Linked DNA regions of Nothobranchius furzeri. The protein of the gene in region 1 binds, or shares a complex with, the protein of each later gene. Links are inferred from orthologs where the notes say so. Each region holds a gene or a part of one and is shown in the gene's direction. Other genes may lie near its edges.

What was found.
Region 2: snrpf (region 1) and srrm1 share a complex: the UniProt entries of both Homo sapiens proteins name them as parts of the minor spliceosome. The link is inferred for Nothobranchius furzeri from reciprocal best matches to the Homo sapiens genes SNRPF and SRRM1.
Region 3: snrpf (region 1) and rnf113a share a complex: the UniProt entries of both Homo sapiens proteins name them as parts of the minor spliceosome. The link is inferred for Nothobranchius furzeri from reciprocal best matches to the Homo sapiens genes SNRPF and RNF113A.
Region 4: snrpf (region 1) and gpkow share a complex: the UniProt entries of both Homo sapiens proteins name them as parts of the minor spliceosome. The link is inferred for Nothobranchius furzeri from reciprocal best matches to the Homo sapiens genes SNRPF and GPKOW.
Region 5: snrpf (region 1) and cript share a complex: the UniProt entries of both Homo sapiens proteins name them as parts of the minor spliceosome. The link is inferred for Nothobranchius furzeri from reciprocal best matches to the Homo sapiens genes SNRPF and CRIPT.
Region 6: snrpf (region 1) and usp39 share a complex: the UniProt entries of both Homo sapiens proteins name them as parts of the U4/U6-U5 tri-snRNP complex. The link is inferred for Nothobranchius furzeri from reciprocal best matches to the Homo sapiens genes SNRPF and USP39.
Region 7: snrpf (region 1) and txnl4a share a complex: the UniProt entries of both Homo sapiens proteins name them as parts of the U4/U6-U5 tri-snRNP complex. The link is inferred for Nothobranchius furzeri from reciprocal best matches to the Homo sapiens genes SNRPF and TXNL4A.

The regions. Positions count from the first base shown.
Region 1 is NC_091741.1:34,923,132-34,927,125, reverse strand, and holds the start of snrpf (small nuclear ribonucleoprotein F), read left to right. Parts: upstream 1-1,194; 5' UTR 1,195-1,331; coding exon 1,332-1,334; intron 1,335-2,457; coding exon 2,458-2,583; intron 2,584-3,994. UniProt on the Homo sapiens protein: Plays a role in pre-mRNA splicing as a core component of the spliceosomal U1, U2, U4 and U5 small nuclear ribonucleoproteins (snRNPs), the building blocks of the spliceosome.
Region 2 is NC_091758.1:35,727,494-35,731,586, reverse strand, and holds the start of srrm1 (serine/arginine repetitive matrix protein 1), read left to right. Parts: upstream 1-1,293; 5' UTR 1,294-1,400; coding exon 1,401-1,421; intron 1,422-2,045; coding exon 2,046-2,135; intron 2,136-2,740; coding exon 2,741-2,863; intron 2,864-3,101; exon of another isoform or gene 3,102-3,228; intron 3,229-4,093. UniProt on the Homo sapiens protein: Part of pre- and post-splicing multiprotein mRNP complexes. As a component of the minor spliceosome, involved in the splicing of U12-type introns in pre-mRNAs. Involved in numerous pre-mRNA processing events.
Region 3 is NC_091745.1:10,008,282-10,012,371, forward strand, and holds rnf113a (E3 ubiquitin-protein ligase RNF113A), read left to right. Parts: upstream 1-1,387; 5' UTR 1,388-1,441; coding exon 1,442-1,547; intron 1,548-1,847; coding exon 1,848-1,927; intron 1,928-1,999; coding exon 2,000-2,098; intron 2,099-2,353; coding exon 2,354-2,461; intron 2,462-2,551; coding exon 2,552-2,661; intron 2,662-2,743; coding exon 2,744-2,850; intron 2,851-2,940; coding exon 2,941-3,030; intron 3,031-3,102; coding exon 3,103-3,196; intron 3,197-3,265; coding exon 3,266-3,372; intron 3,373-3,458; coding exon 3,459-3,526; 3' UTR 3,527-3,590; downstream 3,591-4,090. UniProt on the Homo sapiens protein: Required for pre-mRNA splicing as component of the spliceosome. As a component of the minor spliceosome, involved in the splicing of U12-type introns in pre-mRNAs. E3 ubiquitin-protein ligase that catalyzes the transfer of ubiquitin onto target proteins.
Region 4 is NC_091755.1:41,971,939-41,976,202, reverse strand, and holds the start of gpkow (G-patch domain and KOW motifs-containing protein), read left to right. Parts: upstream 1-1,464; 5' UTR 1,465-1,675; coding exon 1,676-1,971; intron 1,972-2,128; coding exon 2,129-2,289; intron 2,290-2,518; coding exon 2,519-2,664; intron 2,665-4,264. Other genes in the region: membrane-associated guanylate kinase, WW and PDZ domain-containing protein 3, read right to left, coding at 450-532. UniProt on the Homo sapiens protein: RNA-binding protein involved in pre-mRNA splicing. As a component of the minor spliceosome, involved in the splicing of U12-type introns in pre-mRNAs.
Region 5 is NC_091756.1:43,772,589-43,776,883, reverse strand, and holds the start of cript (cysteine-rich PDZ-binding protein), read left to right. Parts: upstream 1-1,495; 5' UTR 1,496-1,636; coding exon 1,637-1,652; intron 1,653-1,810; coding exon 1,811-1,876; intron 1,877-2,159; coding exon 2,160-2,214; intron 2,215-3,000; coding exon 3,001-3,104; intron 3,105-4,295. Other genes in the region: pigf (phosphatidylinositol-glycan biosynthesis class F protein), read right to left, coding at 828-1,055. UniProt on the Homo sapiens protein: As a component of the minor spliceosome, involved in the splicing of U12-type introns in pre-mRNAs. Involved in the cytoskeletal anchoring of DLG4 in excitatory synapses.
Region 6 is NC_091757.1:46,437,229-46,441,225, reverse strand, and holds the start of usp39 (ubiquitin carboxyl-terminal hydrolase 39), read left to right. Parts: upstream 1-1,197; 5' UTR 1,198-1,326; coding exon 1,327-1,387; intron 1,388-1,660; coding exon 1,661-1,739; intron 1,740-1,832; coding exon 1,833-1,927; intron 1,928-2,086; coding exon 2,087-2,223; intron 2,224-3,997. Other genes in the region: c17h2orf68 (UPF0561 protein C2orf68 homolog), read right to left, coding at 1-32, 273-388, 781-890.
Region 7 is NC_091751.1:22,095,006-22,097,982, forward strand, and holds txnl4a (thioredoxin-like protein 4A), read left to right. Parts: upstream 1-1,192; 5' UTR 1,193-1,337; intron 1,338-1,519; 5' UTR 1,520-1,547; coding exon 1,548-1,700; intron 1,701-1,826; coding exon 1,827-1,930; intron 1,931-2,016; coding exon 2,017-2,188; 3' UTR 2,189-2,477; downstream 2,478-2,977. UniProt on the Homo sapiens protein: Plays a role in pre-mRNA splicing as component of the U5 snRNP and U4/U6-U5 tri-snRNP complexes that are involved in spliceosome assembly, and as component of the precatalytic spliceosome (spliceosome B complex).

The DNA.
Region 1 (3,994 bases):
AATTTAAATGATTTTTATTTCATAACTTCTAATCTTTGTGACCATTTGGTGAAAATGTCATCTTTTTTATTTTATAGCCTCGTAAGACTAATTTTGCTATTTTAAAATCATATTTAATTAATAAATAATTTCCCTTTTGTTTTTGGTTGCTTTGCACGAGTTACTTTCTTGTGACTACAGTTTTTGCAACACTGCAAATTTATTTGTGTCTCTTCATCATTTTGCAGCTCTAAATACGTTTTTAAACACATGAAAAATATATTATGCTTTCTTTATCGGTTCAGTCGGTCTGTCTGTCTGTAACAGATTTTATTACGCCTCATGCCAACAGTAGTTCTCATACAACTCATGCACCCTCTGACTGGCCACTTCTCTAAACCTCGCGTACCGTCTCCATCCCATAACTGAGACCAGACTGTCTGATGGACGGGTTAATTACACGTTGGAAAGGTGAGGTCGGGAAAATACTCAGTGATGTAAAGAAACAAGTATTTCAAACATGCAGAGAGAGATCCAGAGCAATTTCATAGGAATTTTTCTGACAAAACCCAGCCATTTGCTGAATGAAGTCAGATTTCGGTTTTATTCACCATGGCAGGTTTGAACTTGCCTGACTTTTTGGTAACAGACAAACGCTTCAGAGCAGAAAACATTTTTTAAACATCGGGCTTCTTGTGCCTGGAGAAAAACAAAGCTGCAGAGAGCAAGCATGACCCAGTTATGACAGTCGTGCCAGGTTTAGCTCCTAAACCGATATGTTTTCAATCAGTCACTGATCCTGCATGACATAAATAGAGCAGGAGTTCAACTCAAGGCAGATGACATGATCTTGTTGCTGAGAATGAAAACGAGTTTGAAGAAAATTATTACTAGTTTTTCCTGGACTTAATAACTGATTTTTTTTGCCATTTTCTTTTGTGAATGTAGAGGAGATACAACTTTTTGGACTGGACTTTATTTCTGTATCGTGCCACGAACATATAGCAGATACTCTATAAACAACTGACATATCAACCCCAGAGATCGTGCATACATATTGTAGGTGTTTAATTCACGTTTCGTTTATCAGCTCACAGTTTACTGTTCAATGGGTGACTGTAAATGAGAGGAAGAGGGGAAACTTTTGGAGCTTTACACTAAATCACTTGGGTAGCAGTTCGCTCATCCGGCCACTGGGAGGCGCTGTTTAAAGCACGGAGACTCGTGCCCAGGTCGGAAAGTTGTACTTCCGGTCGGCGGTAAAGCGTGCTTCGTGGTTTGCAAACGTTATCGAGACGAACATATTTTACTTTTTTGATTTAGCTTATTAAAGCTGTTTAATTTGATATAAAATGGTGAGTAAGACGTTGTATATCTTTATCGTCTTGCGAATGAACTATCAGGATTTAATTCAGTGTATTTTTGTTGTTTAGCGTTAGCCATGTTAGCTTTTCATTCATAACTTCGACCTAGACCTTTCACACCCTCAAACACATATTAACACAAAACTGGTGTTATAAATCTTCGGTTTCTTATTCCCTTTGGGTTGTAAGCCGTCTACTCGTTCATCACTGTTAATAAACAAGAGAAAAGACCGCAGAGGCTACATCAACCGCTAGCATCCCCTCGCTTCCTGGCAAAATAAAGTCCAAACTATTTCGCTAAGATCGTTTATCAAAAGCTTCCATAAGGAAATGAATATATATTAATAATATGTCTCTCGACCTTTAGCTATTTAATCTTTATAATGTGAGCTAACTCCTCAGGCCTTTAAGTCCACGGTGTCCTGTAGCTAGCCTTAAGAGAGATGATCGGTTTAAAACAAGCGACTCAGAATGAGCTAAGAGCATCTTTGGTGTGTGCTTGCTGTGTTGAAATTCTAATTCCATCTTTTAGTTATTTTTAAAACACAGAAAGGTTTTATTTGCCTGCAACGTTTCGTTTGCGGCTGCAAACTTCGTCAGGCTGACGCTGCAGGTAAATAAAACAGCAGTAAAGCATTTAAACCTTTTTATTAAACCACCTGACCCGGATTAACCTTTGTGTTATGGGAGAACATATTAAAATTTAATAGTGATTGAACAAAATAATGCAATTTAAAGAAAAATAACACTATTAGGATTTAACAGCTTGTTTTATTACACAGATCAGTTGCGCTGATTCATTAAACGTTTTTTATGAATAAAATTAGATTGGTTAAACAGCTGTTTGGCCATTAAGTAATTCATTAGTAAAGTCAATAAAAATGATTTACTTTGCAGTAGATTTAAAGTTTGGATTCTACGCAAAAACGTTTAATTGAATCCGGATTTCCTTCATGTTGGAGTGAGGAGTATCTGTGTTGTAGGACGGACGGCTGGGGGTACGCTGCTGTTCAGCAGCGTTACAAATTCATGAAATGTAGTCGTTAAATGCATTTAATTTTCTTCAGTAGTGTGGGATGTAATGGCTTTGCTGACCTCTGTTCTTCTTCTACAGAGTTTACCTCTGAACCCGAAGCCTTTCCTGAACGGCCTGACGGGAAAACCTGTGATGGTGAAGCTGAAGTGGGGTATGGAGTATAAAGGCTACTTGGTGTCTGTGGATGGATACATGAACATGCAGGTGGGTGCCGTTTCTCCTCCTAACAACCAAACCACAGAATCTTCTCACATGGAAAAATAAACCATTTAATTATTTGTATACCTGCTCAGGATTTGCTACTGCTTGATGATTTTATTGTGTGGTTTTATCTGTGTCAGACTTCTTTATTATCATAAATTTGGTTAAGCCAAATCAAAATAAATGATAAAATTAAATTTGTACCCCAGGAAAATTCAGCTCTTTAGACCCATCATCCTGCTTGTTTTCTATGTTTCTTTGCTTCAACACACCTGATTTGAGTCATTAGGCGAATAATGAGCTGCTTCAGAAGAATTAAGCTATTGAATCAGGTGTGTTGGAGCAGGTAAGGAACTAAAACATGCAGAACCAGGGCTCACTGATGTTCTTTAATCAGTTCAACTTCAGATCATAGTCAGACTGCTGAAAGGTGTTTATCTTCGTGTCCAGCAGGGGGCGTTGTTTGATCAGTTTGAGGGAATTTTTGCTAAAGAGACTGAAGTGAATAAAGTCATGGCTCCAAAATGTCTAAGGAAACTTCATGTAATTATAATTTTACTTATTAATATTAACAAAGCAGCCTATTTATCCTTCAGCAGCAGTAAAATACAAATGTTCCCAAAGCAGGGTGTGTTTTCAAATGTTTGCATGTATATTTGGGAACAATATCTAGGATATGCACCCAGTTGTCAGCGAAATGCAAATCAGTTCAACAGCAGTTGATGAAGTTCTAACAGCTTTTTAAAAGTCTAATCCATAAACCTCCACTGGAAAGAATATAGATGCAGGAATTAGGCCTGCAGCTATCGAATATTTTTGTAATCGAGTACTCTATCAAATCTTTTATCGATTAATCGAGTACTCTATCAAATCTTTTATCGATTAATCGAGTACTCTAATAAATGACCCTTTTGTGTTTGTAAACCATTATATCAAATAGCATGTTATAAAATATGAAAGACCTCTTAAAATGAGTACGCTATTGCCAGTTATTCTTCAAGTTTTATTCAAAATCAGTTTGCAAAACTTCAGCACTTCAACTTTACTTCACAGTAAACAAATGCCTGTGCAAAAAATAAGTAAACAACCTGAGCTAATTTCCCCCGGTGTGAGAATCTACGAGCCTGCAAGCCAGACAAAAACTAGGATAACTGTTGAAGTAGCGCTGCGAGTGGCTGCGGCCCAAACAGAACCAGAACCGCTCACGGCGCATGCGCAATCATGGCTCGCCAGCTGTTTCCCTATTAACACACGTCCGTTTTAATTTCTACACTTTATTTTCTCACACAATAACAAGGATTGTCGAGAAAGCATGTTTGCCGTGGTTTTGTCGAATTATACTGATCACAAAACATTTATTTACTTTCGTTTTCCTCTCATAAATACCCGCGTCCTCCTGCAGCAACCCCGAGGG
Region 2 (4,093 bases), on another chromosome or scaffold:
TATACAGTGTAAGAAAAAGAACATACAAAACATTTAAACAAATGTATCCATTAATAAGAAAATTCAGCAAAGATAAAATCATTCAAATAAGAAAATACCAACACCCCCCCCACCCCACCCCACCCCCACCCCCGGCCAGTTAATAACTATAATTCAATTCAATTCAATTCAAAAATACTTTATTAATCCCAGAGGGAAATTGATTAAAAACTAATTTAAAAGCCCACATCAGTCATTTAGTTTTAAGTTGTTATGGATGACCAAAGTCTTAAGAATTTTCTTGAATCTGCCATGATTATTTATTAATGCCACTCCTGGAGGCCGGATATTCCAATATGAAACAGCTCTGTAAATGACTTCTCTTGAGGGCATTCGTTTTTGGCAATGGAAGGGTAAAGGTTACTTGGGAGGCTCTCCTTGTGTTAAAACCATGTCTTTTACATGTCGGTAGAAACTTTGTGAACAAACTGAAAGGTTTATGTGATATCCAAGTTTTCTGCAAAGAAATAATCAGGCTACAGACTAATCTGCCATTTACCTTCATCCAGGACAACCTGTGATGCATCCAGTTGATATTGGTTGATATCTGCTAGTATGTATTGGAATGTCTGTATGAAGATTTGTCACCAGGAGTGTTTAAAAAAATACTGTCTATGTTATGAGGGAGGAGCTGCTCCATGCCAGCCCAGGTCCTACCAGCAGCAGATCTAGGTGGCCACAAATTCTCCAACAACCAACAGCTCCCAAAGAACCAACACTATTCAGCCATCCCAGATGATGGGATGAACCCAACCTGGGCAAGAAGGGGAACCAGCCTGAGGACGAAAGGACACCAGCCTCCAGCCAACGGGAACCCACTTGGGGCTGTCAGTCCTGGAGTCCCAAGCCCAGCACATCATCATCACGCCAATGCAGGTCAGCCAGGAGCCAGACAACCCCATTCCCCATTGGCCTAAACTCCACAAAGGGCTACCAAGCACAGGGGAACCAAACCAACATAGCAACCCTCGCCCCTTGCAGAGGGAGTGTAACTGTACCCCCAAACCATGGAGATGGTGAAGATTCTGACTCCTTGTTTTCTAAATATACCAGTCCTAATAAATGCCACTTAGAGGTTTCATGTATTCAATGTATATGGTTTACAGTAAAGTACTTTTAAATATATAAAAACGGAATAAAAAATGTATGAACTGAATAAAATATGAAACTGATATATTTAGAAATTAATGTAAAAAATAAGAATTGTCAATAAGTGGAAAGAAATAAAAAATGACGCGGGCAAGCGCAGTACTCGTTACATCCTGTAGGGGCTCACTCTGCATCCGGCTGGCCACTCGAGCTTCACCAGAGGGACGCACTTCTTTCTCCGCAGCGCTTGAAACAATCGATTTTCACCGAGAATGGACGCGGGATTCTTCCGCGTGAGTGTTTGAAACAAACATCTATCATTTTTATAAATTTGTGTCGCGCTGAATGTTAATAAATTGGCATTAATATCCCGTTTACAGTTTGGTCGAGGGCCACACTTGATAGAAGCGGTGCGGTAATGGCTCCGTCTATCAACTGATTTTGAACGATTCTGCTATTTGTAGTCAGTCCTCTTTTCAATGTAGCTAATTTGGAAATTAGTATTGTTTTTATGAAACTGATAATTGTATTATTTTGAGCCCGTGTTATGTTATTTTACTAACGCATCTCAGCATTTTTGGTATAATTTTCATATAGTCTTCTCAGGAATTAGACAGGTCCGTGCAGCTAAATTGTTGGCCTTGGCTTAAGATGGCGCCCGGTGTTGTGCCTAAACGAGCTAGTCACGACCATGTTACGCCAACGTTACTTTGGTACATTTAACTTTCGGCTTATTGAAGACTGACACCATTCAGACCTTTAAGAGCACATTTATATCGACGCTGTTATCGTTGACACCGCTTTCTTGCTAATGTAATCTTCCTTGTTAGTACTTAGCAACCGGCTAGCTAGCTTGTTGCTAGTTCAGTGTCATGTGTAACCCGAATACACTAATTTCTATCTGTTGAATATTTTAGGGTACGAGTGCGGAGCAGGACAACCGTTTCAGCAACAAGCAGAAAAAACTACTGAAGCAGCTGAAATTTGCAGAATGTTTGGACAAGAAGGTATGTGATCTCCTGATGGTGATTAAACTGTTATTCTGGTTATTTCTCATCATATAGCATCCAAACATGTGGTGGTCAGAGGGACCGGTAGCACCTCATTTTTATCATTGAGCCCCAGGACAGTTGTGGCTACATTGTAGCTCATCACCATCGGCATGTGAATGTGTGTGTGATTGGATGAGTGATACACTGTAGTGTAAAGCGCTTTGGAGACCTCTGACCTATTCATCATATCCCAGACAAACCGTAACAATCAGAGGTTTTTCTGTTCTGAATGTTAAATGAAAACAAAAATTTTCTTTTAGGGCCGCTGAGACATATCTTACTTCTCCATATGTAATCTGCTTGTGTACGTCAATATTTTATTTTGAATAGGATTTGTTGTAGAGGTTGGATTTGTGGCAAATACCCAAGTAAAAATCCCAAATAAGTCTGTTCCTTGTGTGACCTGACATCTGTAATAGATATAACCCATTAATGTGACTATTTTGCATAAATGCATTTGGTAATTGCATCTGAGTGCCTGTGTAATGCTGCTTATTCCAATAAAATGAGTATAAAGATGATCACTTTTTAAAAATATTGACTTGCCTGTTTTTTCTCAGGTGGACATGACCAAAGTCAACTTGGAAGTCATCAAACCGTGGATTACCCAACGTGTGACAGAGATTCTTGGCTTTGAGGATGATGTGGTCATTGAGTTCATATTCAACCAACTTGAAGAGAAGGTATTGTTTTTCCTCTGTTTGTTTTATTTTTTTTCTGTCAGAGCTGTTGTAATTCAGGGCATTGCTTAGCCAGCAAGAAGGGATGTTAGTAAAATAAATGCACATCCTAGTCAAACTGAGAATGAATGGGTAAAGTAAAAAATAGTTGGTTTATTTGTGTAGATCTTGTTTTGCTGTTATGTGACAACGTGCCTTTTTATTTAGCAGTCTTCTAATGATGATGTGATTTATGATTTAAAAGGCCTGAACCAATATGGATGTTATACCTTGCATCAGAAGTATAGCACCAACATCTAATTAGCTCTCTCCTGAGCCCAAAGTCTCTGAGCCCAACTCTCCCTTCATGATGCAGTGTGTGTTTTGAGGTGAGTTGTATATAGGGATCATCTACATCTTGTCAGTGAAAGACACAACTGAACAGTTCCATTATCATATTCTCCGTAGGCATTTTTAGATGCCAACTACCTTCATTAATCCAGAAAAGGGTTTAGAAAATGCCATGGTTTATTTTTAAGTATAAAAAATAAAAATTTGTTTTAACCCTGAAAAGTATTGTCTCACTGACCACCCCTGATTGCAAGTTTTGCATCAGTTGCACTTCTGTTGAGTATAACGTGCATTCTGTTGCACTTTTATTTAACTGCACTCGAGAGTTGCTGCGTTTCCATCAAGTTGTCTATTTTAAACAAATCTCATAGATGTTGACCTACATGAGGTACATGCTGCATTTCTTTGAGTTAATAAATGAAGATGTGTAGAAAGAATATTTTTCAGTTCTGTTGGGGAAGGCTGAGAATTAAAAACGCCAGCAGCCAGAAACAAATAAAACAAGCTAAATTAGATGCTTCTTTTGTTTCCCTTTTTGCCAAAACTTTTATTTATTTATGCATGGTTTTCCCCAAATAACTCTGTTAGTTTATAATTTTACAGGATGAACAGTTTTATTCTAATAAACCTGAAATATTTCATAAAACTCAAAATAGAAATGAAAAATATGTTGATGGAAACCGTTTATGGTCTGTGTTGAAGGCGAGCAGAGTGCATTACTATTGCAAGTAGAGAACTTCAACCACAGGAGGTCAGCACAAACGAGATTTTCTACAGAAACAATACTTTTCAGCTTATTGCTATAAAACCTGATTTGTAATCATTTCAGAATATTCATTTATGTCTCTTCTTTACCATGTATGTTATTTTATTTTTAAATACTTTCTAGTTTTAGACTTTTTA
Region 3 (4,090 bases), on another chromosome or scaffold:
GTGTGTGTGTGTGTGTGTGTGTGTGTGTGTGTGTGTGTGTGTGTGTGTGTGTGTGTGTGTGTGTGTGTTCAAATAATAAAGTTAAAGTCCCATAGTCATCATCACACTGGTGAAATTCATCTCCACATCTGACACATCCCGATGGAGAGCAGGGAGCTGCTGCAGTGGCTGCGCTCAGTAATTTGGTTGTTTAACCCCCTAATGCAACCCTTTAAAGCTGAGTGTTAAGCAGGGGGGGGGATTGGGTTCCTTGTTAAAGTCTTTGGTATGACTAGACCGGTATTCAAACCCGATCTCCCAATCCCAGGGCAGACACCTGATAGTGGCCTAAATTGTTTTATATCTGAAATGTTTGAGAAGAAATTACAAACTTGTTAGTTAAATTTCACAATCAAAAAGAATTACTTGATGTTCCTCTGAGTCTACAGCAGAGGGACAATAGGCCACCAGAGGGCGTATGATCTGATGTGTTTGTAATGCTGCTAATAGTTTTTGTTTTAGCGCGTTAATTTAATCTTGTTTAACACAGATAATTATGATACATTTATTAAGCTTCATCGGTTGTGTAGTTTATATAACTGCAGACCTTCTGACCTCTTGTTATTTCTTTTATTTTGAAAGGATTTATAGGAAGTGCTAATTGGTTATGTGTTGTTCAACTTTATGTGAACACTGTAGTAACCGCCTCTGACCGCCAGAGGTTGGAAAAAACCCTACTCTCGAAAGCCAGAAACTAATTGAGTTCTTGTTATCAAGTTGACATAAACAATACATTTAATCACTTATAGACAGATTGTGTTGGCATCAGTTACGTCAAAAGATTATTTAGACAAAAAGCAGTTAAACATAAAATTTTCTTACAAATTTATGTCATTCGTTTTTATTTATTTTTCTTTCTTTTTTTGTTTTTTGTTGTTATGGTTGTTGTTGTTGTTGTTGTTCTTGTGAAGCGCCTGCTCATGATTATTATCTTGAGCGGTCTTGTAAAAGATCGTTTCTTCTTTTTATCAACGACATTTCTAATGGCTATTTTTGTGTATTTTGTTTATTAATCGTTTATACATTTAGTGTCCAATCAAAATGCGTTAATTATTTTTCTGTTTAAAACTAAAATTACCTTTTAAAAATTATTTCAAGTACTACGGAAGAGGATTAAGGCCACTGAAAACAAAGAATAATGATTTAAATCTGAAAATTCTGAGATTAAAGTCAGAATTATCTTTCTGTTCATTTTTTTATTGTATTTTTCTTTTGTTTTCATTGGCCCTCGTCCGTTCTAACATAATATTTTAGGTTTACCATTCTAGCCAGAGCCGCGTTGACTTTGATTTATGGACGGTTGTGAATCTCATTTTGGCAGAAGGAGCGCGTCACGTTTCGCCTCCAGAACAACAGGGGGCGCTACTGCTCTGGCAGCCACTGTTCTTACACCAACAAAAACATGGCGGACCCAGACAAACCAAAAGCAGCTACTTGTACGTTTTTGTTTAAAAAATCCACCAAGAAATTCTCCGGAAGAAAACGAAAAGCAAGTGACAGCGATAAAGGTAGTAAACTATCATTTAGATACATTTCCTTGTAATTTTCTCCTAACTAGCGTTGTCTGTCCTCTGGATAGAATTGATAGCGGCTTCTCATCAGGGAGATCAAAACCGCGACCCAAACAGTTTGTTTATATTATCCTCCATAATAAACAGGACCAAAAACATTATGGTTTATCACCTGAAAGCTACATTTAAACAAAGAGGGGAAGTAACCTAGTTTAATTGTAATAGATTTTGTAATGTTTGTTTACACCAATTGTGTGTGTGTGTGTGTGCGCGTGTGTGTTTGTTTGTTTGTTTTAGATGGCGATAGTGACACTGAACAGACTGCTGTGGTCAGAAAAGAAAAGAAGGATGCTCGAGTCAACCCCATGATTCAAAAGGTAGAGCAGGCAAGCTAATAGATACTTAGTTATGAAGCAGCAACGTGAATGATCTATGTATTCTTTGTTCAGACAAAAAAAGTGGAGAGGGACGCTGTGTCTTCTAGTGAAAGCGAGGAGGAAAAGGGAGACAAAAAGATAACGGTTGCTTACAAGTCTTCCCGATCAGCGGTGAGTTCAGACTGCATTCATTCAAAAATGTCAGAGCCAGACAGTACAAGTCAAACACTGATCTTTTTTCCATCATGGCTCAACCTGGCTGTTGAGACAAAACATACAGGGGCTGAAACTTCACCAGAAAAGCAAATTTTAACATTATTTTACAATCTACAGACCATTCTCATCCACGTACACATGACTATGTGCCCTGAACAGTTGTTTTTATTTACTTTAAAACTTTCTACTGTACCTTGCCTTCATAAAAAGAAACCCGAGGGGCCTGAAGACATGGGTGCAACTGCCACTTATCAGCTGGACACAGAGAGAGACAAGGATGCTCAAGCTATTTTTGAGAGGAGTCAGAAAATCCAAGAGGTAGGACATGCCGCTATTGGTTAATATAAAATGAGAAATAATCAAAATCTCACCTTCGTCATTTGAGCTTTCCCTCCTCTGTCTCATTAGGAGCTAACAGGTAAAGAAGATGATAAAATATACCGTGGCATCAATAACTACCAAAAATTCATCAAGCCTAAAGACACCACCATGGGCAATGCCTCTTCAGGCATGGTCAGGTGAGGCAAGAGATATTCACATGCAGTCAGAAGATGTTGTTCACCTATAGATGCTGAAGGTTACGTTCAATCTGTGCTACAGAAAAGGACCGATTCGAGCTCCTGAACACCTGAGAGCTACAGTCCGGTGGGACTACCAACCGGATATTTGCAAAGACTACAAGGAGACGGGTTTCTGTGGATTTGGGGGTTGGTGAAAACAATCTGAACTCTTAAAACGTTCCTACTGTGAAGTCAAAGGTTTTGTTTATTAATCATGATTGCATCCGTTGCCATTAGACAGCTGCAAGTTCCTCCATGACAGGTCGGACTACAAACACGGCTGGCAGATTGAGAGGGAACTGGAGGAAGGGAGATATGGAGCAAATGGTGAGTAAATAATCGAACTTGAAATCTTCTCTTTTGCTGGCTAGACTAAGTTTCTGATGTGTTTTCATCTAGATGACGAGAACTATGAGGTGAGCAGTGATGATGAAGACTTGCCCTTCAAGTGCTTCATCTGCAGAGAATCTTTTAAAAATCCCATCATCACAAAGTAAGTACTGCGATGGTTTCTCTCCTTCAGTCCTTGTTTATTACCGGCTGGTAATCGCTGTTTCCTTAGGTGTAAGCACTATTTTTGTGAGAGCTGTGCTCTTCAGCATTATCGCAAGTCAAAGCGCTGCTACGTGTGCAACACTCAGACCAATGGTGTCTTCAACCCCGCTAAAGGTAAATGCATTTGCTCAAAAACATCCAAGAGGAGCAGAAACCAAAGTAAACAGTCACACTTGATGTTTTATTGTCATTTATTCTAGAGCTGATTGCCAAGATGGAGAAACGCAACGCTTTAGCCGACCAGCCACCGTCAGACGAAGAAGATTAGAACACGCTTTAGAACCCTCTCTGTGTTTGTCTGTGTACATTTCTAATAAAGTTCATGGCCTCGGTTCCTTTTGTACAATCATGTTGAAACACTGAAGCAGGCCTGGGTTTGTAGTAAAAGTTTTACATTTGTAACACGTTGCTTTGTCCAAACTTTCAAATATACATGCAGACAAAACCAGCACCAAGAAAACATTTACATCTGACGTCAGTAACACCCAGAGAGCCGAAGAAAAGGCTAACTTTTACGCTCTTAATGCTAAACTAATAATTACAACCTGTGCAACAAAAGAGTCTGAACCGTGAGACGATGCATCTGCTGTAGCAGACCGGAGCTAAGAAATGCTGTCAGTCCTCAGAGAGGACTGCTAGGTGCCCTTATGGTCGTCTCCTGGAGCAGACGGACCAAATCGTGTTAACACAAACGGTGGAGCGTCTCCTGGTAATATTACGTAGCAGCATTTCATTGATCCGTCTCCTGACCTTTATGGTTTGGGCTACATCTACCTTTAGAAAACTCAAGAGTTGTCCTTTTGGTTCGTGGGTGTGTGTAGAGTACAATCCG
Region 4 (4,264 bases), on another chromosome or scaffold:
ATGATTCCTATTAGCAGCATCACCTTGACTGCAACCAGATCCGGAGCATTTCCGTCAGGGTCAGGAATCCATCACTTCCAAAACAAGCTGCCCAAACGAGCTGGGACACACCCAAAACAAACACTCTCACACATACAGAGGGCTGCAGGGCACTTGTGCACGCTCCTGTATGCACATGCATGCACACACACCTGGCTGTGAACCACAGAGTATTTGAATCAGTCTATTATTCATGGCAAAGGGGGTGCAGGTGCACTGAGCACGAGCTTCTGTTTAGTTTTCATTAAGGCAATTTGTGAGGAAGGCGATTGAAACCGATAAAGAAAATAGAAAAGCTATCAAGAAACTCTCAAAACACACACACACACACACACACACACACACACACACACACACACACACACACGAAGCAGATTCTCAGATTTCTCATATTTAGACTGAATACTGACCTGCCTTGCCGCTGACACACACACATTCTCTTCAAGCAGTTCAGCCTTTCAAAGAGGATCCGTTTGAACGCGTCTATATACATTGACCCTGCCGAGGTTAAAAAAGGAGCAGCACTTTAATAAATAACGCGACCTGTTTGGTTTGGAGCAACAGCAGGAGCTGGAGGAGGAGCGAGGAAGAGTCTGGAGTCTGGAGGAGATGAGATGAAAGGCGATCAGCCGGAGCCAGCGGAGAAAGTCAGAGCCGATGCGCACGGCTGACGGGATGTTTGGACACTAGTGATGCTCTGGGAGCTGAGGAGAGCGAGAGAGCGGGGAGAGCAGGAGAGAGAGAGAGAGAGAGGAAAATAAAACACACACACACACACACACACACTATCGGGCAGATTTGACGGCGGTCGCAGATAATTTCAGCAGCTGCTACATTGCTGCGAGCAAAAAGGAGAAAGGAGGAAAAAACAAGAAGGCGTGGATGGTTGTGACCCAAACGGGAGGTTTTAACTTGTGCAAAGAGAACAGTGCGTTTCTTACCCCCATGTTCACTCTCTGCGCCTCATCGTTTATCCATCATGCATACAGAAAAAGCCCGAATTACCCCCCAAAAAATCATACAAATGTCGGGTTCAGCAAATAAAGGTGTCGCTGAACTTCAGAGGTTGCGCAAAAGCAGGTGCGGAAATAGTAATAAGGTTGCGCTCATGCTGCTGACATGCAAATGCGGAGAAAAAAACAGCAACATTAGGCTACATGGCTAATGAAAAGGTTAACCTCACAAGTTCAGGCGCTCAGGAGGCACTGGGAGGAGGAGTTAAAAGCCCCGCCCACATTCTGCCTAAAACACACCTGCATCAGCAGCACCAGAGTCCGCTTCACTATCTGCGATTTAAAGGAGTCAGACCCACGCATTAATCCAACTCATTCAGCTCTTGTTTCTTTTTATTACAGGAGACTAAAAAGCTCCAGATAAACTATAGGGGTTTACAAGATGACCGCTTCAACGGAGCGATGTTTCAGCTTTTCAAAAATAGACCTGCAAGTCTAGACATGTTCACAATGAAAGTGTTAAACATCAGTACCTTTCTATTTTAAATCAAGTGTCAGTGTAATTACCGTCTGTTTAACTACTTTAAATGATTTGATATATTATTTAGTTACTAATAACCAACGGATTTCACAAATAAATCAGTAAATCTCGGATTGCCTGCGACCTTTAAAGAACTCTTATTATGAGGCATGATGGGATCTGTAGTCAATTGCAGCCTAGAGTGGTTATCGGGCTCGTTAACGCAACCCCATCTCCCAGAATGCACTGCGCCCTCATCGTTCTTCTTCCACAAACAATCATGGCGTCGCACGGAGACGGTTCAGGTGCCGCCGAGAACCAAGGAGATAAAAAGGCAGCGGCGGTATCGTTTGGTTTCACAAAAACTGTCAGCAAATTTAAACCCGCAGCCGGCGGCATTCCAGCCAAGACCGACGAGAAGGATTACCTGACTGGAATCGACCGAAATGAGTTACAGAGGTAGGCTAACCGCTAGCTAGAGGCTAAAGCTGTCAGTGGTTTGTAAACGGAGTGGTGACGTTTGAACTCTAAATCTGACTGACCACACTTTTACGTGGTGTGTGTAATGTATCTACCCGGGACACTTTAAAGATTTAACTTTTGTCTTCCGTGGCAGTTCAAAGCCAACCGAGAAGCCCAAAGAGCTCATCATCCCATTGATCCAGAAGAACCGCTGGCACAAACCGGACCGAGCGGACCCGAGTGGAGGCTCAGCGCGCGGCTCGGTCCAAGACAAAGACTCGGTGGAGTCTCAAGCTGTCAAAGAACTCATTGAAGGTTTGTGGTTGAAAAAGATGCAGAAGTTGGACAATGAATGGTTGCGTGTCAAAATGTGTACCCCCTCGCAAACGGAGCCCATCCTGGAAGTGTCTTCCTGCTAGACTGTAAAACAATTAAGAGCACGAGCTCCATGGCCGGTTTGTGTGTGTATTAGACAGTTTTTACTTTCCTACCCAACACTAAGAAAACCATCTTTATCAGTGACGTTGTGTGTTTCTGCTTGTAGATTCACGGAGGCAGCTGGAGCAATGGCAGAATGCAGCAGAGTCGAACAGAAGCCTGGACCTCTCCATCCCTCTGTTGATGCAGAACAAAGTCCCTGAGGGTTTTGAGGATGGAGACCATGTAAAGGTGGACCTGCGGCCTGAATCTGTAAGTGGGGACAGAACGGGCTGTAAGAGACTTAGGAGTATGCAAAGTTTACCAGACGAATGAGAAAAGATAGAAAAATTAATTATTCACAATTTTGTTGTTAGAGCAGCTTAAGTCAAGCCATCTGTTATAGTCAGTAATGCAACAAACCAGAACCTTTAGATTTATAAAACAAATGGAATAAACCTTTAAAAGGTTTAGTAAAGTACAGCAAAATTATTCTTTATCTTAATGATTAATTTAAAGCACGTGTACATGCTACTGCAGCAATCTGACACCCGGATCTACCAATATCCATCAAAAGTAGAGATGTAAGAAAATATCGATATGGCAATATATCGTGATATTTTTCCCAGCAACATTATATCGATATTCAAAAGCCGTGTATCGGAAATATCGATGTGGCAATATATCGTGATATTTTTTCCTGCGATTATTACATCGATATTCAAAAGCCGTGTATCTAATTCCTGAAAGAATTTACATGCAAACATTTGTGTATTTTCGTTTTGCGCAATTCAATCAGCACCCGCTAGTTGGCAGCAGTGTGCAGCGGGTTTTGTTTCCACCACTGAAATGTAAATCCCTCCATCATGGTTCAGATACCTCATGTTAAACATGTTACGTATCAGTTTGGACTGTTTATTGAACATTCTTACAATAAATTCAGTTAAAAAATTGCTTGTAACGTCTGACTGAATGTATCGCAATATATCGTGAAATATCGTATCGTCTCCCCTGTATCGTGATATGTATCGTATCACAAGAATTTCAAAAATACACATTCCTAATCAAAAGGCATGCTTACATCATCTTCGTCAGCTTGTTAAAGGATTGTACCACCTCACAGACGTTTGGTTGTGATGTTAGCAGCAAACCATGAAAAGTAAAGTTCGACCGATAATGGTTTTTCTGTTGCCGATACCGACGTGTAAAGGTTACGGACAGCTGATGGACGATTAGTGTTGCCAATGTTCTGTGCCGATTTTCATGTCTAGATGTTTTCCGCCCTATTTTCATGCTAATATGTCACAGGTAACACCAGTAAATGCACAAAATTTCAGAAGCTGAATCGGTTTTTGAACACTAAATTTAACTGTTAAATTTTAATCTTGTGCACTGCTCAGTGTTAAAACCAGACGTCTCACTAAAGTTAATCAAACAAATCAGGATACTGACCGAGTATTAAATGCTCAAAACTGGTAAACAAACTCTTATTTTTGGTGGAAATAATTTTTAGAGCATTAATTAAAGCAGATGCTATTCAGGAACATAAAAATACAATTAAATCCTGCAGCAGTGCCGGGCTGCCTGGGGATGTGCCTGACTTAAAACCGGCTAGGTTGTGTAATTGACAGTGAAAACTGTAAAAACCACGTTAAATCCAGAAAAAGCTGACAGGTTGAAGAAATCAGCAGTGACAATTTCATCAGTAACAAACGAATCTTTAAACTTCACTTCCTGACGGACGTGAAGGAAGGCCGTCGGTCTGAGCTCGTTATCTGTCTGAGGATGCTACGGGAAGGTTGTGATAGAATCTTCTGGACAGGTGCCTCAGTGAGGGCACGAAAACACCTGACAGTACAAAACGTCTGCTACT
Region 5 (4,295 bases), on another chromosome or scaffold:
TGTGAACTGGCGCTTTATGAAAAAATTAAATTTATTTGCCTCAAAGCAAGAATGCTGCAGGTTCGAATCCTGCCTGCATGGCCTTTCTGCGTGGAGTTAGGATGTTCTCCCCATGCTTGTGTGGCCCTTCTCCAGTAACTTGCTTCCTCCCATGGACCAGACACATCCATGAAAAGGGTTCAATAATGACTCTAAATAGTCTCTAGGTGGGAGAGTGTATGTTTGAATGGTTGTTTGTCCTTCTATATGACTGGAGACCTGTCCAGAATGTCCCCTAGCTCTCATCTGATGATGATTAGCGCTAAAGATGAGCCGTTTAGATCATGGATGAACCGAATTAAAATGAAATGAAACTCGGATGGTTTTGTTAGCTCTCTTCCCTTCATAAAGGACATAATCCTTTGAAAACTGCATTTAGTTTAGTTTACTCAAGTTCTCTTTGCCTGATGTTGAAATTTGTTTGATCTGAACCATTTAAGTGGGACAAAAAATTAAACAAATAATATATGAAATGTGTTAAGAGACAATTACTTTTTTCACACCTAAATAAAATAGATCATAACAAGAAACGCTTACAATTTCTACTTTTTCATCACCTCACCTTACAATATCCAAAACTTACCTTCATTTTCACACATCTATTAAATTTAATTAAAAAGCAAGTTGACTGATGTCCATTTCCCTGTCCAAATAATAATAATATTAATAATAACAAACGAATACATTTTGTAAAATTCATAAGATACCTTCACATATCACATAATACATTTATATGTCGAACATAATCAACAATTCACTTTAAAAACATTATCTAGTTGTTTTGGCACCTTGTATCCCAGTGTGTGCTTTTTGGTGGGCGGTGAGATGCCGAGCAGCCAGAAGATAGCGACGCTGACACAGGTCACCGTACCGGACACCGCGTAGACCCACAGCAGGTGAGTCCCATACACTGAGAAGCCCGGGACAAACACCGCGGGGATGACCGTGGCCATGAACACCGAGGCGGTGATAATCGCGTGAGTAGACGCCATAGCTTTAATTTCATGGTCCCACATGATGAAGACGTGAACTATTTACAACAAGAACCCGATAACGATGCGGGGAAGTCAAATAAAACACCTAAAAAACGTAAGGTAACATTGGGAAACTGTCAGGTCTATGTATTTCTTTTCCGCGTTTCCGTAAACACGAAGACGTAAGAACGTCCGCTTAATTTCACAGTAAAAGTCTACTGCGCACAGACATCTTAGGTGAATGATGAAAAAACATCCGTTTCGAAACATATTATCATAGATTATCGGGTCAGTTTATTTCAATTTCAAGTGAAAAAGGTGTATGTTTTACTTGTTACTCAATCTCTGCTAATGAATACGCTTGGGTTAAATAAGGTAAAAGTGCTTGACTTTATCAAACATTTATTTTGAAGAACCTATAAGCAAATAAACGGGAAGTAGTAAGTTATAGTTCGCGTTGCGTAACTCAATTGTTTTAACCAATCACAGAAGATGTTACTCGTTAAAGCAACCAATGAAACCTGTCATTTGAAATGCCTCAGCTGACCGGACGTTTACATTAGCAAAGCAAGCTAAAGCTAACAAACGATCATTTCTACTGCGTCATTCGACACACCGCAAAGATGGTCTGTGAAAAGTGTATGTATGTCATTTGCTTCTGATTTTCAGACGTATTGTTCATTTTAAAATCTGATGAACGTTACTTTTGTCAGCGAAAGTCTCAAATGCAAACTAGAAGGCCAATAGTTTAGTTCTTATTGTATTTTCCTCCATAATTGTTTTGTTTTATATTTTAGGCGAGAAGAAACTGGGAAAAGTAATTACCCCCGACACTTGGAAGGACGGAGCACGGAATACAACAGGTGACCCGAGGAATGCGTAGTGAAATGTTTTTTTGCCATCAGTATGATAAATTGCTGTTTGTTAATTATTCTAGATATGAGACTTGTTGTCTTGTTTACAAGTTACTTTTGAAAATGTAATCATTGTTTCTATATTTTTTCACGTTACTAGCAGGTTTAGTCCTCATTTGGTTGATCACGCCATAATATAAATTAATTGGTGTTTATTTTTTTTATATTAGTATAGGTATAGTAACATTTAGATGTCCGTGTTTAACAAGTTTGTCTTCTTTCTTTGTGTCAGAGAGTGGAGGACGTAAGCTAAATGAGAACAAGATTTTGACATCCAAAAAAGCCAGGTGAGTAAAAACAATTTATAGAAAAAAATAAACTTTAATTACAACAATCTAATGAATGTAAATACAAATATGAGAAGTCAGAGAAAATATTCTAAACGCATTAATATACTTATCTTAAAATTACCTTCTTGAAATTGAACCAAAAACTGTTATTTTACTAAAGTTCAACCTTATCATATAAAACTTTCTCACCACCATATTTGCTTGGGCATACATTTTGCTGCATTGGCACAAATCACCACATGAATCATCATTAATCATCTGTCCTTAGTATTTTACTTTATGAACCACGTTTAAATCCTGATCTTCTTCATTTCTTGCAATCATAACAGTTGATTTTTACATCATAGCTGGAACACACTCTTAAGTAACTGTTGCAAACCTGCTCTGAAGAGTAAAAGACCATCAAATCTTCAGCAGTCATGAGATGATTGGTCATTATTTCCCCATTCATCCACTCTTATGCTCTCTTAGTTAAATAAAACTTAGATCGTCCATATACAAGTTAAAGGGAATAGGTGACAATATCTGGTGAACCTTATTAGTAACAGAAAAGGAGTAGCTCTCATTTGGTTTTTAGTCTGATTGTAAGATTTGTATAGAATATGAGGTGACACCTTGTTCTTAAATCTTCCTAAAAAGCCCATCATAATGAACTCTTATCTGAACTATTCCTCAGAAGAAGTCACACAACGGTTTAGCTACTGTTTTTCAATGTTGTATATTACTAATTCAAAGTGGTCAGCTGATATAACTGGTCATGTGTGTAACAATTATTTTCATCAGGTTTGACCCTTACAGCAAGACTGGCTTCGCAATCTGCAGGATCTGCAAAAGCTCAGTTCATCAGGCTGGATCTCACTACTGCCAGGGCTGCGCTTACAAGAAAGGTATGAAGTGATTGTGCTGAAGATTTAGTTTTGTGTCACAAAAACGCTACAGCATTTCTATTAGCCCTTTTACATAAAACACACACACACATGCTCTCTATTCAACACCCTGCTGAGTTTTTCACATGTAATCATGTCACCAACAACATTATCCTTTTCCTCTGAGACAAATCCATCTGCATCCTATAGGAAAACGTGACAGTAACTGGGACGAGTTGTGAAACTGCAATGTTTGTCTGTTGTTGAACAATTCAACTTGTGACTTTTCTGCTCAGATGTTTTCATTTTTCAGTGTGTCTTAGTGTCAGAATCCGGAGAAAATTACAGCCTCACATCAACAGAGACTGTACTTGCATAATCTAGAGCCATTCTCGATAGGTTTGTTTGAATACAGTGTGTTTGTACTGTATTTAGGCTGAATGATGAAATGTAAACAGGGCTTTATCTAAAAAGGCATATCTTGATGAACATTGAAGCAAACTGTCTTAGTTGCAGGAAATGAAAGAGTGGAGTGGCCATGTTTCAGATGGTTCATCAAACATGGAAGATGCTCAGTGAAACAAATCATCTTTATAGTTTGCTGAAGTTTTCTTTTTTATTATAATGATTTCAAGGCCTACGTGTCCCATTGAACCTGCTGCCTTTGGTATGTCTTCATGATGATGCCTAGGTAGACTCACAATTAGGAATAGGGCTGCACGATATTAGAAAAACCTGCGATATTCGATAACAGTGTTTAATATTGCGATATCGATATTACTCACGATAAATGAACAAATACTAAAGTATGCAGTGTTGATGTCGTCTGGCGTGTGACGTCTGCTCTGGGTTCAAAGCAAACAAAACTAATGCATGAATTCCATTACAACATAACATTTTTATTGCAAAAATATGCAGCTGCACCTGCTACTGTATTAGTAGCAAAACAATAAACTGCATGCATGCAGTTTCTCAGTGACTTTAAAACATCACCTCCACCATAAAACTTTTTCTGATGCTCCAAATGCAGAAAAACATCCCTTACCAGGGTTTTTGAATAAATAAAAAAATATCAGAAAATAAGTTTAAATGTTAAATAATAGTTAACATCACTTAAATGGAACAGCAAATTCTCTCATTGCTACTGAGCATTTTCTCCACTTATGTGGTTATGATATAAGGCTGTTGCTGCTATTGGGAAGTGAACTGTGC
Region 6 (3,997 bases), on another chromosome or scaffold:
AGCATCAGCACCGGTACCTGGCTCAGATCCACCTGGAAAAGAACATACATGCACTATCATGCCTTCGGGGCAGGAATTCCCAGTCTTGGTTCTTGTGATCTGATCCCTGATCCCATCAGTTGATCAAACTCAGCTAGAGCTCGGTACCCATTTACATCAGGCATCTTGAAGTGTGAAGCATTGGAAAACACTTGGGGCGGTGGATATTAGGGATCAGCATTTGAAAACATAGTTCAACAGAATGATCCTGGGGAGAATTACACAAATCTTACGTCTTTGTCGAGGATTGTAGACTTGGATGTCAGGTCGACGAGGTCTTTTTGGGGTTGCAGTGTGTCTTTGCTTCTTTAGCTTTTTGGCTTGCTTCACTTCCTTGTCATAATCATCTCTGAAAAAAGACAAGTGACAGTTTGATCATACAAATTTCAGTTACACGACTTTAGGTTTAGTTGTTTCCATACTTCCAGTCATTTGATCATAAACTTAAAAGTGTAATGCTGTATGTATTTTGCAATTCAAAACAAAGTAAATAGTTATTTAAAACAATAAGTTTCATGCATATTCTGCTAAAACCTGCAATAATTTGGCTAGGCCTGCAAACTTATAAATTGTTTTTAGCGGCTAAACGCGTTTATGTCATCAGCTACGACCTTTTCAGCATCCCCAAATCAACGTAACGTTTGATTAAAAGAATATCGCCTTTGAGGTTTTAGGCTGATATTAACCTAGTGTCTCATTTTCAACTAGCATTAACAGAGAGAAATTGAGGAAATTACCTACCTAGCAATCTGGTTCCTGCGGATATGGTGCAAGAAGCCATGGCTCATATCCAAACGCCCACCTGGTTTGTATTTTAGCTCATGCCCTCCATCATCTCTTAAAATATCCATGTCATTAAATGGTTGTAAAGCAATAAATTACCAATTGGTTAAATCATTATAAGAGGTCCTAATCAGACCTCAGACAAAAGCTAAATAGCACCTAGCTAGCTGTAAATAGTTGTCCAATAAATCACTTCCGGAGTTAACGCTGCAGGAACGATCACATTTAACATCTTAAATTAAAAAGTACAATAACAATTCAAGTATTTGTGTACAAATAAAACAAACACATGTTGTAAATTAACAGTTTCCTGCGCTAAAAAAAAACAAAGTTAAATTTCTGGTAGAATATTTTTCTTAACACCGGAATAGGTTTTGTTTTTTTTGTTCAGCGTACAACCACCGCGAGTTTCGACGTGGTCAGTCACCATTCATCTAAAAAATCTTCTAAATAAGTTAGTTTATTCCTATGTTGTTTTGATACCAGGCTCGCAGGATAACAGATATGATTTCCCTAAAACGAGAGAGGGAAATTGAGCTGGACGACGATGATAACGAAGACGGAGGTAAGTATGTTTATCTCTAACGTCAGTGTAACGTTAGCCGGATGCTAAGAAGCTAACTAAAAGAATTTGATTTTATGCACAACTTTGTACAGTCACTTCCTGAATGGTCATTAGACATCCTCAGTAACTAATGCATAGAATAACACTTTGCTTAATTAAAAAACATTCTGTAACAGCACAGCTATCGTGTTAGCATGTTTAGCCTATTAGCTTGTACATTGTTATGTAGCATTTTAGTTTGTCTTGTTAGTTACAATTATCATATTTTTGCAGTTGTAATCAAAAGGGGCCGAGGACATGCAGTAGAAGACAGAAGAAGTCGCCACTGCCCTTACCTTGACACCATAAACAGGCAAGAAAGAGAAACATATCAGCAACTGATATTAGCATTGCTTGCTAATTAGCACATTTGACAACCATTAACCTGTCTATGCTAATTTCCCAGGAGTGTGCTTGATTTTGATTTTGAAAAGCTCTGCTCCATCTCGCTCTCCCACATTAATGTTTATGCTTGCCTCATCTGTGGGAAATATTTTCAAGGTAGGTAAAGCTATCCAACCTTCAATCCTACATGATTAAACATGCTCGTGCACTTTGATAGCCTGGCAAGCCACACTAAATAAAACTTTGCAAAGCAAGAATTTGGTCTAGTTCACTAGGCTAGTACTTTGACACACTGGTGTTGTTTTTTTCTTGCAGGCAGAGGTCAGAAGTCTCATGCATACACTCACAGTGTCCAGTTTAGCCATCATGTGTTCCTCAACCTGCACACACTCAAGTTTTACTGTCTGCCAGATAACTATGAGATCATTGACTCGTCATTAGAAGACATCACGGTGAGTCATAGTATTGTTTTGTTGATCTTATTATGCCACAAGTGTCTATGGTTACAAAGCCTAAACATTTCCTGTTTAACAGAGACTGCAAACTGGAGAAAAGTTTTAAAAGTTTTAAGCATGTAGATGTAGATTCTCAGTCATCCAGGACATTTCAGTGCTAAGACTCTTGGGATGTTCCAAAAAGGGTACTTCACGATTCGATTCAATTTCGATTATTGGAGCTTCGATGCTTCGATTCTTCGATTATAATGATTTTTGGTTCGATTCGATTACTGGAGCCACGATTCTTCGATTATTGACATTTTTAATGTTTTTTCATACAAGATTGTCTTCTATTTTATCTACATTTGTAAATAAATAACCTATCAATTAATTCAGTTCCTCTACAACTGCTCTCTGTAAGTAAATACATTTTTTTAACATTTAACTATTTTTCAAAGACAAATTCTTATTTTATGACTGTATGACGTGTAAATATTTGCACTTTGACAAACTTAACTTTGGTCAGGGAAAGCTTTACTTACACTAGTGTCTCCTCCATTGTTGGGAAACACTGAAAACAGGCAAGCCCTGGATTTAATGAGGTAATTAATTCAAGTAAACAAGATTTTTACTTCCACTGAATTTATTTAATGGAAACTTAATGAGTCTGGCATATGATAACATTACAAAAAAAGCTGCCATACAGATCAAAAGTGCATTCCTCAAAATAAAATAATTCAGCTTATTCAGTCTGGAATATAGGTAACAGAAAAAAACCTGCTATATTTGAAGGTAATATGTTGCATTTTTTCTGAACAAAAGTGCATAATTCAACTGAACCTGTATTCAGCTTGGAGCTTCAGTACTGTGAGGCGAACACAACAAAATAGAGCAGAGTGACACTCATACTCATCTTAATCTTAGCTGTCTTCCCATACTCCCTCCCCTCCTTCTTGTCCCCTACATCCTCCAGTTGTGTGAGATGGGTAAATGTCAACATTGTGCTACTTTGACCCTCACTCATCTCTCGAGTTTGAAGAACGTGGCTCACCAACTTCCACCCGTTCTTGTCCGGCGCGAGAACAAAATGCGCCGTTACAGTAACGAAGGATTTGGTGGCAACCGATGTCCATGCATCGCATGTGAGCGCTATCCCGGTTGCCTTCTTCATGGACTCCAGCTTTGGTTTCCTCGTAGAGGTGGGGGACTTCCTTTTCTGCGAAGTGTTTTCGGTGAGGAAGTTTCTAGCGCGGCTCCATGGTGCGCACCACTAACTGAAACCCCCTGTTGTTTACTACTGAATATGGGCGTAGATCCGTCGCGATAAAAGTAGCTATTGCTTTTGTAATGCTCCTCGCCTTCTCTGAGCTCTTCGGTAGTTTGGAGACAGTCTCCAGGATGGAGAAAGAGGTCAAAGAGGTAGTGCCACTCACTAAACAGTCCGGGCGGCGCGTGCGTTAAGGCTCCGGTTACGTGTTTTTATTTTTTTTTAGTACCGGCGTTGCAATAAAACTTTGATGTTATGTTTTTTTAAGCATTGACGTTCATTAATCGATGTCGAAACAACATGTTTAGCTGTTAGATGCATCGCCACATCGATTAATTGCACCCCCCCTATAAGATTCTAATGGAAAGTAACTACCTGGAGATGTCTGAAGATGTTTCAAATTTTCATCTGACTCAGATGAGTGTTGGAGATCATTTTAACTAATGTGCTCAAAATTCAGTTGGAGACTAACCTTTTAACTCAAATCAAATTCAAATTTTATTTGTCACATAAATTCATACA
Region 7 (2,977 bases), on another chromosome or scaffold:
TTAGACTCTCTCTCTCTAGGGAGTGCCACAATGTGCTGCTATGTCGTCAGACTGGAACGTTTTTTCTTTAACCTTTATACTATCTTTTTCTTCTTTGATTGTACTGCAGTAAATTGCACAATAAGTGTTTTTTCTTCGTGTTTTTCCACTATTAGAATTGTACACCCACACTTTAAATAAAATAACGTCTCTAAATCTAAGTAAGACTGAAAGATTGATGATTTATTTGTTTATTCGTAATGGTATTTTCAAGTTTTAAAAGTGCTTCAGCATTTAAATAAGTCCTTGAAAACAACTGAAACTGACTTTATGGTGCAGACGTTTCCTTTAATGAGACAGCAAAGTGACGTGATTGTTGTGAACAAGTATAAACGGTCTCTGTGCAACACCGGTGTAACGTGCTGGAAAATATTTAAAAACTCCATCTTAAAGTGCTTGAAAAGGGTTTACATTTTATTATTTACAAAGTGTGTTAGGAAGCCTGCAAAAAATCAAGTACGACACGTAGTATTTGACATTGCATGATGAGTTAGGGTTGGGTTTTTACAAATTTTTCTTTGGAATCTCTTTTTGTGGAAGAATTTGAGTTTGAACGCAGAGTAAAACTCCAAACTAATCATTTTTCAAGCTGTATCCATTTTACAGCAAGTGTGCCAAATATACACATTGTTCTAAATTTGTGAACTTGTTAAGAATCAGAAATACTTCACAGCATCAAATATTAACAGTTTTTTTTGTAAAGTACACAAACAACACGTGCACGTTTTAATTGAAGTGTGGCAAACAAGCTTTACAAATAAAGAGTGCTCCGAGATTTCCTAAAAAATGTATTCATGTTGCAAATTTCTAATTATGTTATCTAGACTGTAAACATAATTTCTGTTTGTTATTGAGCTGTTTGAAAATCTGTTTGTTCTCCATGCATGAATACGAAATACATTTAATACTAGAAGTATTTCTCTAGTTGATCATCCAAAAAGATGATCATCCAAAAAGATATTGCTGGAAAACATAACGTAAATATATTTATTTTAAAAGTACTTGCTGGAGTGAAAAGTAATTATTTCAAATAATTAATTATTTAAAATTTTTATTTTTTGTGTGCGGCTTTCACATTAAAAAATAATAAATAAATAAATTGGGACTTTTTAAAAGAGTTTTTCGAATTGAGCGACTATGACGTAAATTTAACGCGTCTCCTGCGTCGCTGATTTGATGACGTCGTGAAGCGTTTGTTTTCCGTGGGGTTTAAAAGAAGTCACATTGAACATAGCTGCTTTATCTATAGTTAGTCCGTTTTCTTCCCGCCACTTAAATACTCTATTTTATATTTTGGGGTAAGTGTTTCAGAATATTTAGTGGGAAGTTTCATAATTGTGTCTTTCAGATTGTATCCATGGTTAACGCTAACTAGCTAGCTAGCTGTTGCCGGTCAAACCGTTCTCTGGTACTCAGAGATGTTTGTTTAATTTAATGTTCAGCTGTGATCGATTTGAACTCTTTATTTGATCCATTTCAGGTTAGAATTTGCTCATTTTTGAGTCAAGATGTCGTACATGTTACCGCATCTCCACAATGGATGGCAGGTCGACCAAGCCATCCTGTCTGAGGAGGACCGAGTCCTCGTCATCCGCTTCGGACACGACTGGGACCCAACATGTATGAAGATGGACGAGGTTCTTTACAGCATCGCTGAAAAGGTTTGATTTGTTTCCTGTCTTTATTATATAAAGTCCGGTTGGCTCAGATTCAGGAGTCGCGTCACATTACCTGCTGGCGTGCTCCAAATGCCATGTTTAATTCATTCTTGGTTTGTTTATTTACAGGTGAAGAACTTTGCTGTCATTTACCTCGTGGACATCACAGAAGTGCCTGATTTCAATAAGATGTACGAGTTGTACGACCCCTGCACTGTCATGTTCTTTTTCAGGTAGCTCTTCCAGTTCCACATGTTGCAATAGACAGGGCAGCTGAGTAAACATATTTTAAGGTGATATTTTTGTCTTTCTCTTCCAGGAACAAACACATCATGATTGATTTGGGCACCGGTAACAATAACAAGATCAACTGGATAATCGAGGACAAACAGGAGATGATAGATATTGTTGAAACTGTGTATCGAGGAGCAAGGAAAGGAAGAGGTTTGGTGGTGTCTCCCAAGGATTACTCTACAAAATACAGATACTGATTTTTTTTCATCCTCCTTTGTTCAGTTTATTATTTTTTCATTTGACAAAATGAAGAGACAAAAAACACAAAAGGTTCAGGAATATTCTTCAGCGTGTTTACCTTTGGTAGTAAAACAGGACATTGTTGATAATGGTGGGTTTAATGTCACTTTTTGTTTTTGCAAACGTAGCTTCATAAATATTAAGTTTTGTGTTTTTTAAGGCTTATTTCTGTGAAATATGTCAGTGTGGAACACATCGGTAATATTGTACAACTTGTAACTGTTTTAATAAAAAACTTTTACTTAAGATTTAAATGTAGTGTTTTAATTTATTTTATATATATATATATATATATATATATATATATATATATTCTGAACCTGCTTGTCCATGTAGGGTCGCGGGGGGCTGGTGCCTATCTCCAGCTGTCACTGGGCAACCAGGCGGGGTTCACCCTGGACAGAGCCAGTCTATCTAGTACTTCTAAGGCCTATAAAATAAACATGTTTATCATGAGTACAAGCTGTTCCACCACATCATTAAGTATAAGACTGATAGATTTATGAGTGTAAAACTTAAAATCCTGCTTTTCTGTTGTTAATACTCTTAATTCTAGAAGGCTTTTAATGACTGGCTAAAAAATATGGCTATAAGTTTATAAATATAATGAATATATGATCTTATTTAATTATGGTTATGCAAAATAAGATAGTAGACAGGCTTTTTAAAATGTTAAGTATTTTAAATAAAACGAATCTGTGCATAATGTTGGAAATCATACCATTTTAATGACATACCTGGAATCT